Oreochromis niloticus: one gene and its partner. The protein of the gene in region 2 interacts with the protein of the main gene of each other region in a pairwise test. Links are inferred from orthologs where the notes say so. Each region holds a gene or a part of one and is shown on either strand. Other genes may lie near its edges.

Evidence for each region. The genes of interacting proteins can lie anywhere in the genome.
Region 1: the proteins of txn2 (region 2) and ppcdc interact in binary tests that used the Homo sapiens proteins (3 or more experiments, as listed by UniProt). The two-hybrid records come from large-scale screens. The link is inferred for Oreochromis niloticus from reciprocal best matches to the Homo sapiens genes TXN2 and PPCDC.

Annotation. Positions count from the first base shown.
Region 1 is NC_031972.2:51,780,197-51,787,318, reverse strand, and holds the start of ppcdc (phosphopantothenoylcysteine decarboxylase), read right to left. Parts: upstream 3,008-7,122; 5' UTR 2,866-3,007; coding exon 2,740-2,865; intron 739-2,739; coding exon 643-738; intron 302-642; coding exon 173-301; intron 78-172; coding exon 1-77. Other genes in the region: hacd3 (very-long-chain (3R)-3-hydroxyacyl-CoA dehydratase), read left to right, coding at 3,198-3,275, 3,970-4,012, 4,110-4,183, 4,331-4,495, 4,631-4,676, 4,779-4,889, 4,981-5,108, 5,205-5,317 and 1 more. UniProt on the Homo sapiens protein: Catalyzes the decarboxylation of the cysteine moiety of 4-phosphopantothenoylcysteine to form 4'-phosphopantotheine and this reaction forms part of the biosynthesis of coenzyme A.
Region 2 is NC_031969.2:8,127,108-8,134,594, reverse strand, and holds the start of txn2 (thioredoxin, mitochondrial), read right to left. Parts: upstream 3,012-7,487; 5' UTR 2,857-3,011; intron 248-2,856; coding exon 1-247.

The DNA.
Region 1 (7,122 bases), on a different chromosome or scaffold from region 2:
TGCAGCCACATAGCTGTGTTCATTGCAGGGCAGAAGAGTAGAGGTCGACTGGTATCCCAGGCTCTTACCACACACGTCTGAAAGGACAAATGCTCATAAAATCAGAAATCATTTCACAGAAATTCTGCAATAAATGATTATTTGCAAAATCTTTAGTATTTCATCTTCTTACCAGCAGATTATCACAAATACCACTAGCAATCTTTCCAAGAGTGTTGGCATCAAGAGGGGCAATGACAAGTAGGTCTGCCCAGCGCCTTAGCTCAATGTGTAGCACGGGGTCAGATCTCTGTTTCCACAGCTAAATGAGAGACATGCTGTTTGAAATGCATCCAGTTACACAGTCACATCTTCACTTCTGTCTGGAATGCATAATAAGTTAAACCAGTGTTTTTATGTCTCAGAATTCTCACAAGTAACTCCAGTGTTTTCAAGTTAATAATGGGCAACTCATACCACATTTCATTTCACTCAGTATGGCACTGTATGGTATTCCTTCATCTATTTCATTTCAAGAGCCCAAGCTGACCTTCATATTGATTATATATGTCATGTTAATTTGTCTTTTCTATATATATAGCTATATATGTTTTCAGTGTAATAATGGCTACATTAGAACATCATACTCAAGTTAGTTATTACCTCCCATTCATCCTTGTCACTGTAGATTTTGACTGAGACCTCAGCAGGATTATAGAAGTGCTTGGCATGCTCTGTAGTGACTACTCGTACATCCACCTACAGCATAAATGACAGCAACATTTTACTTGTGCAGAACAGTTGAAAAACTCTATGGGATGGATGGATGGATAGATGGATGGATAGATGGATAGATAGAGAAGGGGAAAAGGGAGGGAGAGACACATCAGTAGTATGAATTTCCTGTTCCACCACATCCCATTTAGATTGAGATCCGATGACTGTGGATGCCTGGAAGCCAGTTGTGTACAATGGATTCACTGTCATGTTCACAAACCAGTTTAACATGAGTTGAGCTTTACGGCATGTTATCCTGCTGGAAGCAGCCATCAGAAGATGAGTACTCTGTGGTCATGAATGATAGACATATTCAGCAAAAATTGTCAGGTAGGCTGTAATATTTAAATGATGATTTAAATGTACTAAGAGGCCCGAAGTGTGCCAAGACAATATCCCCCACACATAACACCACCTTCAGCCTGAACAATTGATACATGGCAGGATGGATCCATGCTTTATGATCTTTATGCCAATTTCCCACCCTACCATTTGAACATTTTTCCAAACTTCTGCTGTCCAATTTTGGTGAGTCTGTATGAACTGTAGCCTCATTTTTCAATTTCTAGCTGACAGGTGTGGCACAGGGTGGGGTTTTGCTAAGGTTCGATGAGTTGTGCATTCAGAGATACTCCTCTAGCACCATGGTTGTAACATGGGGATTGTGAATTACTCTCCACTAACCGTGGACGTCACAAAGGCATTTTCACCCAGAAAGCTGGCATTTACTGGACATTTTCTCTTTTTCAGGCTGTTCTCTGTAAACCCTAGAGATGACTGAGTGAGAAAATACCAGCAGATCAGCAGTTCCTGAAATACTCAGAACAACCTGTTTGCGGCCCACAAACATGCCACGTTCAAAATCACTTAAATCACCTTTCATCGCCATTCGGATGTTCAGATGAAGTTAAGCAGGTCATCTTGACCATGTCTACATGCCTAAATGCTTGAGCTGCTGCCATGGGATTGGCTAAATAGATATTTGCATTAAAAAGCAGCTTAATTGGTGTACCTAACAAAGTAGCCAGTGAGTGCAGATAAAGTCTACATTGGTATGAATTTCTGTTTACTCTAAGTTTTTACATTATTTTAGAGTATTTTTAAACAACTGTAGGCATTTGATTGCCTTTACCACTAGTATGCTCAAATTAATTCATCATTTGTTTTATAATTAGCAGGGCTTGAGCAGGTGAAGTGTTCATTCTTTCTCAAGTAAATAAATACGTCATACTACTTGTTACAGAGAAGATTCTTCTACAACTGACTGTTTAATTTTTAAAAAAAAGAACTTTAATTGAAGTTTACAAGACAATACTGCTGCCAGTGACATGCGTGATCCCACATAATTTGGTTGAAAATTAAGTTGACTGATTGGGGCATTACGTCTCTCTGCTCCATGGAGTGTGCATCCATGCATATTCTCCCATGTTAAACTCAAATGAAGCAATTATTCTTAGTTTGACAGTCAGACCAAATATATCTCTCTACACGTATTCGCTATTACACAAACAATTTAAAATTATTTGCATTGCTATGCAAACGCATAGCTTCATCACCCTGTTTACTACAAAAGTCCTAACACACTTTATTTAGTGTATTGCAAAACCATTCCCACACTAATACCAACACTGTCATATATTATCCCCCCGTTTAACATTTACGTTTTCTCTATTTTCATGGAGGACCGCTGTGGTTTTTAATTAACATGCAGATATTGCTGGTTCAGATTTGGTTCAGGTTTTTAAGTCTAAGACTTTTTTTCTGCGGCTGGATAAAAGAGCTATAATAACTCGAACATACTGCGTTTGTAGCGATGCTGCCTAACATCCCCATCTTGCGGTAAAGGTGAGCTTATGCGTATTATGCCACTTAGATAAACAATAAATGTATATAGGTGCTTGTGCTATTATTTGCTAACTATGTACGGGGGAAAAAAAGAAACATTCATGATATGCAAACATTAATTAATATGAAGCAGCTCACCCTGGAGAGCTCAAGAAGCTGGGAGACCAAAAGAGGCAGTTTCAAGGCTGCAACGCTTCCTGTCACTCCAACAAGGACATTAAATGTCCCGGAAGTTTTCAACAAATCAGTTTTTAAACTTGACATGTGGTCGTCTTACTGCCTGTCAGCATACTGCCAAAAGAAAAATTAGACAAGCTGCCGCGCCGCGTTCCCGTGACACTTCCGTAAATATTCATTTAGCCAATCAGGGAATTGCACGTCTAACGTTTGTGCTTCCTGCACGAGCGCGTCTCCGCACTGATCGGTGGAGAGCGAGCACGTTCGAAGAATATTCTGGGTAATTGCTCAAGTCTTTCCAGGGGAGCTAGCATGAAGCGTGGAGCCTTCATTCGTTGTTTGCCTCACTGATATTTATTTGAAGCAACGCCCGATTAAAAAAAAAAAAAAAAAAAAAAAAACTGATCAAAAACGCAATAATGGCACTCACACCTCTTGTTTATTGGGCTCAACGCCATGAAGAAATTTACCTGCGAGTTGAGCTCACAGATGCTCAGGTGAGAGTACATCTTGCAGTTACTTGTCACGGGCAAAACGCTTTAGTATGGTTCTGACTTTTTTTCTTTTTAACATTGTTTTTGGGCCTCTGGTGGTAAATGAGAAGCAATGCAAATACAGACGAAAGGTTCCTGTAAATGTTATCCTGCTGGATAGCTGTACTATTTGCATACTGTATGAGAAATGAGATCCCTTATCTGATAACTGATCCATACAAAGCTCTCTGTTGAGGCCCGTTCGAACCTGTTTTTAAAACCTGTTGGTTTTAAGAATATTCGTGTTTACAGTTAATCACATGGGTGCAAAGTCCTAAAAATATCTGCTGGAACTACTCGGAAGGCGGGGTGGGTGGGGGTGGTAGCATTGCTCGGGGTTATGTGTGAGGGACAGGTGTTGTTACATTTATAGATATCACACCATCCCATACTACATGCTACAGGAGGGCCTCTCAGCACTCGTTTTTTTCTTCTTTTTATAGCACTTAACTCTATTTCTGATCATGTAACAGAAGATTCAGGTTAGAGACTTTTTAAGCACTTATTTTACCTGTACTATGTGTTTTGGAATATAGTTTGTTACGGTAATATTGTAACATAAGATTAATATCTTTGTTTCGGGTTTCTCTTAACAGGAAGTAAAAAAATTCTTGATCTAGCGAGGAAGTATGCTTATCCTTTGCCTGTGTTTTTGCAGAATATTGACGTCCACGTGGATGAAAATGTCCTTCACTTTTCAGGTGACATGGATTCACGGATTTCATTTGCATTTGGTGTTTAAAGACATATTTTTAAAAATATTTTTGTGGAATTTCATTTGTGATATCCTGTTTGTAGCCCAGGGGCATGGTGCAAAAGGACAAAATGAGTACAAGTTCAGCTTGGAGTTCCTCTTACCAGTAAAGCCACAGGTATGCTCAGTAATTCAATAATTCATCTTGAGGGATCAGAAATATATCTATAGACAGAATAACTTGCTCTTAAAGCAAGATTGCTCTTAAATCTTTGCCTTTCCTTTCTGTGGTTTTCCTGTTTGTGCTCATTGCGTGACCCTGTAGGTCAGCTACAAGTCCACACAGCGGCAGGTGAACATTACAGTGCACAAAATACAGCGAGGTTGGTGGGAAAAGCTGACTGTCCAGGAGCGTAAACCTGTCTTCCTGGCACCGGACTTTGATCGCTGGCTGGACGAGTCAGACGCTGAGATGGAAATCAGAGAAAAGGTAAGAGTAATGTAAAAGAGTAAGAGTGGCAGTTGTTACTAAATGACACTCACAGATAAAGATTAAAAAATGTCAGTATGACTAAAATAATTGATTAAAGACTCTACTATTTTCATTTTTAAATACTTCTAAAAGGAGGAGAAAAGGAACAGGCTGAAGGCTTCAAGACAAAAAGAAGAAGGTGGGTGCAGATAATATATTGGACTTGAACATTCTGTTTTATCAGATGGCTTTGAAGGGAAAACTGCTGATACTATTTTCCAATTTCTTTGAAATGTTTCAGGGTTCGTCAGCCTGAAAACTGTGTTCTTGATTGTGTACAACCTGGTCCAGTTTCTTGGTTTCTCATGGATCTTTGTCAACATGACAGTGCGTCTGTTTATCATTGGCAGAGGTGTGAAAATATATTACACAGGAGAAGCTGCAAGTGTCACTTACTTCCCAGAAAACTGGTTAAAACATGTCCGTTCTAAAACTCCTTTCAGATTCCCTCTATGACACATTTCACACAATTTCGGATGTGATGTTCTTCTGCCAGATCCTGGCATCAGTAGAAGTCCTGAATGCTGCTTTTGGTGTAGTCAAGACAGGTGTTATACCAACTCTTATACAGGTATGGGATGTTTTTTTGTTTTTTTTTTGCCCGAACTCAAGTTTTCTAAAGTTACAGATTGAGCACCAATACACATTTTTTTTTTTTGTGCACTAGATGGTCGGAAGGAATTTTATCCTCTTCATCATTTTTGGTAGTCTGGAGGAAATGCACCACAAGCCAGTTGTGTTCTTTGTTTTCTATCTGTGGAGTGCTATTGAAATTTTTAGGCAAGTATGCATTTTCCTATTGCTTACAGTAAACAGTCATCTAGTGATATATAGTACAGCTTTAGCCAGTTGTATTTAAATAAAACTAAAATTGGATAAGATTTAGAGCTTTGCAAATGTTTGGAACAGTTAGATTTTGTTAGATTTTATTCACATTTCAGCCTTGAAACAGGGAAGTTGCAGTCGCATCTGAGCTATAATTTTATAAGAATGTGTAACTGTAGATGCAACTTTGTGTCATTTTATTTGGAGCATGACTTTTTTTTTTCCTTAACCAACATGCGCTCATCCTTTTTCAGGTATCCCTTTTACATGCTGGGCTGTTTCAATACAGAGTGGAAAACCCTCACTTGGCTGCGGTATACTGTCTGGATGCCACTGTATCCACTAGGTGTTTTAGCAGAAGGTAGGCTTTTTTTAAGAGGGGCCGTACAAGCCAAAATTCATTCTTTCCCTCTCACACACATACATTCTTCTTTCACATACATATATTTTCACTCTCACATACATACATTCTTCTTTCACATACACATACTTTCACTCTCATATAGTTTTATTTTAATTTTTATATTTAGATATTTTTATTCTCATGTTTACACATATTTAACACACACATTGCAATATTGTGCTCTCTTATACATGTATTTTAATGTACATATTTACAAATTTTCACTCTAACATACATGCATTTTCATTTATGCATTCCTACATTTTGCTCTCATTTACATGCATTCAGTATGCATTTAATCTCACAAATAATATATGTAAGTAAGCAGAGAATGCATACATGTCAGAAGAAAATATATGTATGCAAGAGAATAATGTATGTGAATGAAAGAGTATAGTGGAAACGGAAGGAGTTTAATGGAAACGGAAGGCTGGGTGTCTGTACCGCTGTGATTGGCCGAGAAGCACGTGCGGGTCACTTTCAAGTGTCTGACAGCATGGAGGGGGGAGAAGAAACTCGAGTTCTTCAGCAAGCTATCGGGGTGTTAAGAAATATTTTATCATCTCCTGAAACGGTCACATCGTTGTCCTTGATCGAGATGGGACGGGCTCAACTTTTTTTTTTACGTGCGCTCAGAATAGTGGCACAAAAATAACGCCATAGTTACCCACCAGCTGACCGGGTGGTCACTCGGGTTAAACATAATATATAAAGCTCAACTGACAAAAAATCACCGACTACACCACCAGGTATTATAGGAAAAACCATAAGGCCTTTGAACTAAAACAAACGCTGTTGTGACAGTGATGTACACTGTCTCGTTGGTATATATGCATGATTTGTATCACCTTCATGTTTCCAAACCGATACCATGAGCAGCAGTTTTTACAGCTCTGGCTCCAGCAAACATCAGCTGATACTAGAAATTAATTTTAAATAAATTCTAACAGCTTATCAAGCTTGAACGTGCTGCTGTTGTTTAGCGCGACATCCGCTGGTTTCCTCTTTCTGGCGCAAAGTGGGAGATAAACAAACAAGAAAGACGATCAGCTAATCATTGATCGGTTTCATGATTGAAGTAGCAACAGGAGAGGGAGGGAGAGAGAGAGAATGAGGGGAGAAGAGGCAGCTGTGCAACGTAAAGACAGAATAACTCCAGCTTTGTCTTTTTTTTCATTCTAGCTGAAGTACGGGACTAATCGCGTTCTTTTTCCTCTCAATACGGATGTATTGTAATTGGTCCAGCCCAGAGTTGATCATGACCAATTAGCTAATCCACCACCTTTAATTGTTTATACCGTTACAAAAACAAACAAACATAAAAATGAAAAATCACCATCTGCCCACCGGGCAAATG
Region 2 (7,487 bases):
CGCTGTTGATGACCCTCTCTGTAAAGTCCTCGCTGTCCTGCACATTGAAGGAGACTTCTCGGCGGGAGGTGTGAGGCAGGGCGCGAGGCAGACTTCGTGACGGGGAGAGAAAGGACACCCGGGTTGTAGTGGACTGAAGGGATGTGGAATAACAAGAGGAAGCGACGGAGGCAGTGGACCTGGGGAGGCAGCGGATATCGTTCACAGACAGTGTCCAGAGTCTTCGTAGCAGCAGCCTGTGAGCCATCTTTGCACAACAGGCAAAGATACAGAAGATAAGTGTTACTTATTATAATATTAATATTGCATTTCAGACACTTCAGATTATAAGATTTAAAAAAATACTAAGAAATCTATCCAAAAACGCTATAGGTCCCATCCCGTATCCACTCTTAAACCCTGCCTGAGCTTTACAAACTGGCACCAGTTTCCAGGACTATAGTTAGTGATAAATTAATTACATGGTGACACCCACAATATTTATTTCCAGCTCCATATTTTCATTCTTGACTTGTACAAAAGTAGTTTCGCATAAGTTACTATTCTAAATAATCCATTTTATAGGCTTAAGATCCCTTTTTTTCTTATGCTGCACTTGGTATAAACTGTCGATAAAGTGTTTAACTGTCGATAAAGTCCCAGTTTATCTGGTAAACAAATATAAAGTGTAATAAAAAAATAACTAAATCATATTTATGCGTGAATGGTTGTCTGTGTCTATTTGTTAGGCCTGCGACAGACTGGCGACATGTCCAGGGTGTACCCTGCTGGCTGACAAAGACTCATTCAGACTGATTGCAACATGTTGGCAGTCCATCTGTATTTATATATTAGACAACAGTTATCTCCAAACCTTCAACTCTCTCAAAGTGACTGCACTCAGTCCAAATCAGACTGCAACTGTTTGCAGAAAGGTTACTTCCCATCAGGTGACCTGCGCAATCACCTTGTGATCAAAAGTGGTTGTGTGGTAACCATTTAATCACGACCAGGTTGCAGAACATGAAAAAATTCAGTACAATCACCAGAAAGCCACCGGTGTAGATGTAAGGAGGTCGCTGTCCTAGTTTTGCGTGTGTGACTGAGTCATTAGCTTGCTCTGAATTAGGAGGCATCTTTGTAAAGCTAAGTGTAACCAGCGTTTGACAGTTTATCAGCTGGGCTGATTTAATGTGAGTTTGCTCGGCTCATCATCTCATGACGTGAGCCTTCTTGTTCATAGTATTTTAATTTATTAATTCATTTATCAATATTTGCTGTTCCTGTATCAATGCAATAATGCCACGCAAAATATCACAATACAATGTTGCATTAACCCCCCCCCCCACCACACACACACACACACACACACACACACACACACACACACACACACACACACACACACACACACACACCCCTCTACATGAGAATGGTGATATGATCTGCTTTGTTTGACATCATATTGTCATCAGTGCTGTTTGAACTCAGGTTTTGGCTCCCAGGGGACTACCTGTATATGCACTGACCTTTTTATTTGAAACTTTGGCCATGTTGAATATAAGCATTCACCAACAAATTCAGAAAAAGCACAATAGGTTTGCTTTTAACACATAAGTAAAAAAAATAAAATAAATAATATCGGGCTAAACCAGGTAATCTTTTCTTATGTCAGCAAATTGCCCATTTCCAAAACTGGAACTACTGGAAATGGTCTGTGTGGTTTAAGCAAATGAGCTGTCTGGATAGATGGGATAGGAGGCAACAAATGCTGGACTGATTTGTATTCGTACACAACTGACACATCTGTCAGGCAAGTTGGAGAAAAAAGGTCAAGGAATAATCATTTGGACTGCTTTTAAGGAAAATTATATTTTAAAAAAGTCAGTAGATAGAGCGTGTGTAATGCTACTTTCTGGAGGATTTTAGATTCAGTATTATTTAATTAAATATCATTAGGATCTCAGCTGTTGGCCCAAGAACAAGGGCTGAGGTCCACTTGGGTTTAGATCAGGGGTAGGGAACTCCAGGCCTCGAGAGCCCCTGCAGATTTTAGATCTCACCCTGGGTCAACACAAATGAATCAAACGATTAATTCATTACCAGGCCTGCGGAGAACTTCAAGGCATGTTGAGGAGGTAATTTAGCCATTTAAATCAGCTGTGATGGATCAAGGACATTTAAAACCTGCAGGACAGCGGCCCTTGAAGCCTGGGGTTCCCTACCTCAGGTTTAGATGATTATGACATCTTTTCTCCTTTTTTGCAGAAAAAACCTGCAACCGTCACGTGCTGTGTGCGGGAAAAATAATCACTTAGAGTATCCTCTATAATACACTCACAGCTAACATTGTTTTGAGTCACTCAGTGAAAAACTTCTAGTCTCACACGGTTTAAGCTCTCGAGCACGAGCTGTTTAATGAAGAATCAGCGCTAATTAACGTGATTAGGGCTCGTGAGCGTCATATAACGAGTGACGTGAACAAACGAGTTTATTGGCAGAACACACTCAGCCATGTTGCCTTGTTGAGAAACACTTTCTTAATCCCACGATGGATAAAAAGCTTTAAGTATTCAGAATTTCCCCACTGAGAACGGCCCACTCCCCTGCAGCTCTCTGAGCCGTTTTCTCGGCCTAACATCTTGTGTTTGCCGCTTATCTACCGGCAGCTCGCGTGCTCCATTAATCTACGTTACGTATGAGTTTGCCCTCTTCGTCCTCCTCCTCCTACTTCTCCTCCTCTTCCTCCTAAACCTTCCCCCGCCGCTGCCTCCTCGCGTTAAGCAGCACGCGAACACCGAAACCGGACACTTTGAGAACAACACGTTCTCAAATGTCACACACATTAAAACACGCGCCCGCATTTTCACAGCTTACCTCGCTTCTTCTGTCGGCGCTGGTCTTGATCTTGGCCTCGCGGACCAATGAAGTGCTTCCGTTTTGGTGCCGCAGAAAAAAAAGGGAACGTGCGGCTTTTCAGCCGACAGAGATCAGTGAGTGGCGCCACCGGCTGGCCAGGTTTGGAAGCACAGGGTTGGATTATCAGCGTAGCATACTTTTATCTACTCTATATTAACCTGACAGCTAGTTTTAGTTGTAGTTTATAGTAGGTTATATAAGTATTGTATGTATTTACATATTCATACAGGTACAATGAAAACAAAAGGCTAGTCTATTACTGACCTTAAAAATAAATGCTGCTGCTGGAACTCAAAGACAGATAGTGCATAACCCCCATCTAACCCTACTGTGTGTTGTCCAGCAATCTTCTTCCACTATTGTACTATTGCAGAGCTAACACAGAGAGGCAGATAACCATTCACCCCCTGCCACCATTCAAGAGTTGCCAACCAGCCTCATCCATGCATGTCTTTGGACTGTGGGAGGAAACTAGAGTACCCAGTGAGAACCCATGTAAGCCGGGGGCGAATATGCAGACTCCATATAAAAAAGACCATCTTGCTGTGAGACATCAGTACAAATCACTGCACCATGGTGGTGTTGTTGGATGAAGTCTGTCAGACATGGGCAAATGGTTTCCCTTGTTTCTAATCACTCTGCTAAGCTAAGTACACAGTCAGATTCCAGTGGCTTATTTACACAGACCTGACTCTAAGTCTCTCCAAGGCTTCCCAAAATATCCACACAATGAGACAATGAGCAGGAAAATATAGTTTTAGATTAAAACCTTTGTGGAGAAGCTTTGCTCCTGTGAGCCATTTCTGCTGAGAAGCATCATCATTCCTTTAGTTTTATATAGCGGACACGTCCATGCTTCACCTTCCTTTATTTTTCACATTTTATCACATCAAAAGCCACACTTCCTCCAGGTGGACACCTTTTTTTCTTTCAGTGGAGGGTTTTCCTGATCTGATCAAGGATGTAGACAGATCAAGGATGTAGACTGATCTGTCTACGGGCCTGTTTGAACAAAAGCACTGACAGGAAAGCCGGGCTGTCTTCAGCTCTCGGATCTCCAGCGCTGTTTTGCAACATCAACCGCCTGGGCTCTTAGCCAGCCTAGCCCTGCACAAACTGCTCCACTCTTTATTCTGCAGCTCTGGAGCCGTGCTGCCTGCAAATGCACACATCCCTGAAGCTTCAGGTAGCCAGTTGCAGGTGTCAAACATATGCCAGGAAACCATGTGCAAACAGCGATGTGCTCAGAGGTTCAGTCCAGCACCACACAACTGGATGCCATTGAGCCTGAAGTGCACTCAGATCTCCACAGATCAGGGGTTTAAACATAAATGTTTTCTCTAGTTTTAGAATGCCCTCAAAGACAAACTGCACATCAGGACAGTCCATCTGCAACAACAACAACCAGTGGGGTCACCAGTCTGGTGGGCCAGACTGGTGACCCCACTTCAGACATCAGAGGAGCCTGCGGTCAAAGGAAAGATGCAGCAAAAGAGGAGAAAGAGGAGAGGAGAGAAGCAGAAATATATCATGCAATGTCAGATGTTTCTGACATGATGTCTCAGTGAGTCAACAGAACATCTGGAACAGGACAGATGTGATGAAAGGGAGAAGTTTTCTACAAACTACTGCACCCAGGAATCTAGACCCAGCTTGGCCCTGATGGTCTCCCACACACACATTTTTCCCCAGGGTGAATGTATCTGCTGATAATAAATGTTCCTGTTACCAGCCTGCAGAGCTTTCTGAGTGTATAACTGAATGTAAATCTGTTTAAATTTTAAGTTTGTTGAGATCATCCTCGGTCTCATGTTAAAACCTCAAAGGGTAAAATTTAATATACGGGTCATTCTGATATTTATAGTAACTGTAGGCCTCTGTGGAGTGTGTATGGATGACATCATCACTGCGTAGCACTCACCAACAAGAAGCCACTTTGATCTTAAGTGGGCTGAAAATGTGAAACTGCCCTCTCTGTCACAGTAAAGATGTTGAAGTACACATTTAGAAAAACATAAAGTGCAGTTTCAAAAGTACTGTCTCAGTTTTTCTATATGATAACGAAATAGTGCTGTAGTAAACAAAAGAAATCTATCATCATAGATAAATAAATGTATAAAACTGCAGAGGAAGTTATGGTGTGTTTTTTATTTCCTCTATGGACTTATTGTAAAAAGTAGACATTTATAGTGATAAAAAACAGGAACTTTTCTGTGTTTTAACTGCTTATCATTTACTTCATTACTTTGGTTTCTAATAAATGGGCACGGAGGAAGTCTTTATCAGTAGGAAAAACTGTAAAAGCAATGAATATACAGTAAAAAAGTTAAAAATTGATGCCTTCCTATTTATTTTTCAAAGCTGTCAGTTAGAGTGTTTGCTGGGCCGATTCTGGCCCCAGGGCCTTATGCTTGACACCCCTGGACTAGAGGCCCTGCTCATGTATGGATCTGGATTTTTTTTTCCCTATATATCTTATTCAGAGAAAGACATTTTAGGCTCTTAGTTTGTTTGATCTCAAGTTTTCTTTTAACGTCATGTGTCCATTTCTCCAGCAGAGGGTGCTGTTCGTAGTAGCCGGGGTGGGATGTTGATCAGGTTGAGGCGGTTGGGGCATGAAACAGAGCGTTGCTCTGTGTGTCAGGACCAGAACACATGAGCCTCAGTCCTGCTTACCGCTCGTTTCACACACACACCCCGCCTGCACATGTTTACTCTCAACCAACCCAGACTGTTTGTGAGTGAGGCTCTTTTTTCACCCCCCCAACCCACCCCACAAGCCCTCTCTTCCTGCCAAATAAACATTGCACCGGAAATTGCAGGGATTGCTGGGATTTTTGAGGGGGTCCTGGTAGAAAGGAGGAGACGACCAGAACAAGGCTGCTTTCTGTGACACCTTGGAGGTGAGGGGTAGGATGCACGTGCGAGGATCCAGAGTGGAGGGCGTGACCCCTGCTTTAGGTAGTTGATGGGTGCTATCATTACGATACAAACAGGTAAAAGAGACCCAGTTTCCTGTGATACCCTCCTCCACTTCAGAAAAACCAGGAGTGTGTGCTAAGTTTGACCTCGGTGGGCTAAAGGTCAGGAGGGAAGTGATATTCCTGTGACCTTCAGTGGACTGTGCCGTGGACCCAGTGACGGTGCACCTGACCATTCTCCTCCTCTCGTGGCTGTTTATTCCCTCTCCTATCTGCACAAGCCAGCAGTCGAGGGAATACAACAGCCGCCGATGGAGCCGGGCTTTCATAACAGCCCCCTGACAAAGCACACATGAATGGCAGGGTGTGTGCCCTTTGCGTACACAGAACGCTCCCCTCCCGCCTTTGTGTGTGAGTTTTGTCCCAGCTCGCTTCCCATAAATCCCAATGTCTTTACTTGATAATAACAGCCTGGAAAAGCACACAGTATAAAGCCTGTTATTGAGCAGATTGCACCACAAAGATTATTCCACTTGATGACCTTCTGTTTATCTCAGTTAGTGTGAGACCGTATCCTCTGTGAACAGTCACATATTCTACAGCTGACGAGCCATCAAACTTTAAACGCTCTCGCCGCCGGCCTGTAATTGGGATTCTCTGCCTATACACCATTTCTTAATTATGGTCAGTTAGATCAGATGCATGGTACATGTGCTGTATACACATATGCAGCAATGACATGGCACCAAAAGAAGTTCAAACGAACGCTTTCTCATTTGTCACCAAAAGTTTGAGCGTGCAACTATCTTTAAACCGAGCTGTGCGCCGTGTTTACGGGACGACGCGTACACATCCTGGTGTGAGTGTGGCTGCGAGACCATAAAGTATGCCAAACGGTGGCAGGCCTGTGCTTAGAGGATGCATGTGCCTGGATGTACACGCACATATGGGATGACGCACTTGACAGATGCATGAAGCGTGTGTGTATGTGTGTGTGTCTATGTGTTTGTGTATATAAGCTCCCTGTCTTCTTTTCCCAGCTCTGCTCCTATACTGATCTATGATTCTGTGTTTGGGGAGTCAACAGTAGAGTTCCTGTCCTTAGTTTAAAAATAACTTTGGGACTTAAATTCCTTGCCCCCTTCTCATCCTTGCTAACTGGCACTCTCCTAACCTCGCTCTATGCTTGTTTTTCTTTCCCTTTTCTCCTGTTTTGGAACAGTCTGTACCCTTGGTCCCTTTTTTTTTCTTTCCTTTTTTTTGTCAGTTATCCTAAATCCGTCTGTGGCAACAGAGAAATGCCTCAAATTACCAAGGGACGGCAAATAAAAATTCAAATTTCTTTGACTTTTCCCAAAGAGAACCCTATTTCTGTTACAGTTTTTAAAAAAGAAACAGGGTTCTCAAGATTAATAAAACTAATATACAGTATATGAGCAAGATCCAGAAGCACTGCTGCCTACTCTGGACTCAGTTCAGCCAAATGGACTGGCTTAGTTCTGAGAGCGGTCCATCAGTCACAGGCTAAAGAGGAGAGGGCGCATTCAGTTGGCATGGGTAACTTGCTGTTGTGTGAAGACAATGTGAACACTGAAGAGTATATAGAAGGTTTTGGAGCTGCTATCCAGCCTCAGTAGATAGGTCGTCTGCTAGCTGGTTGGTAGTTTG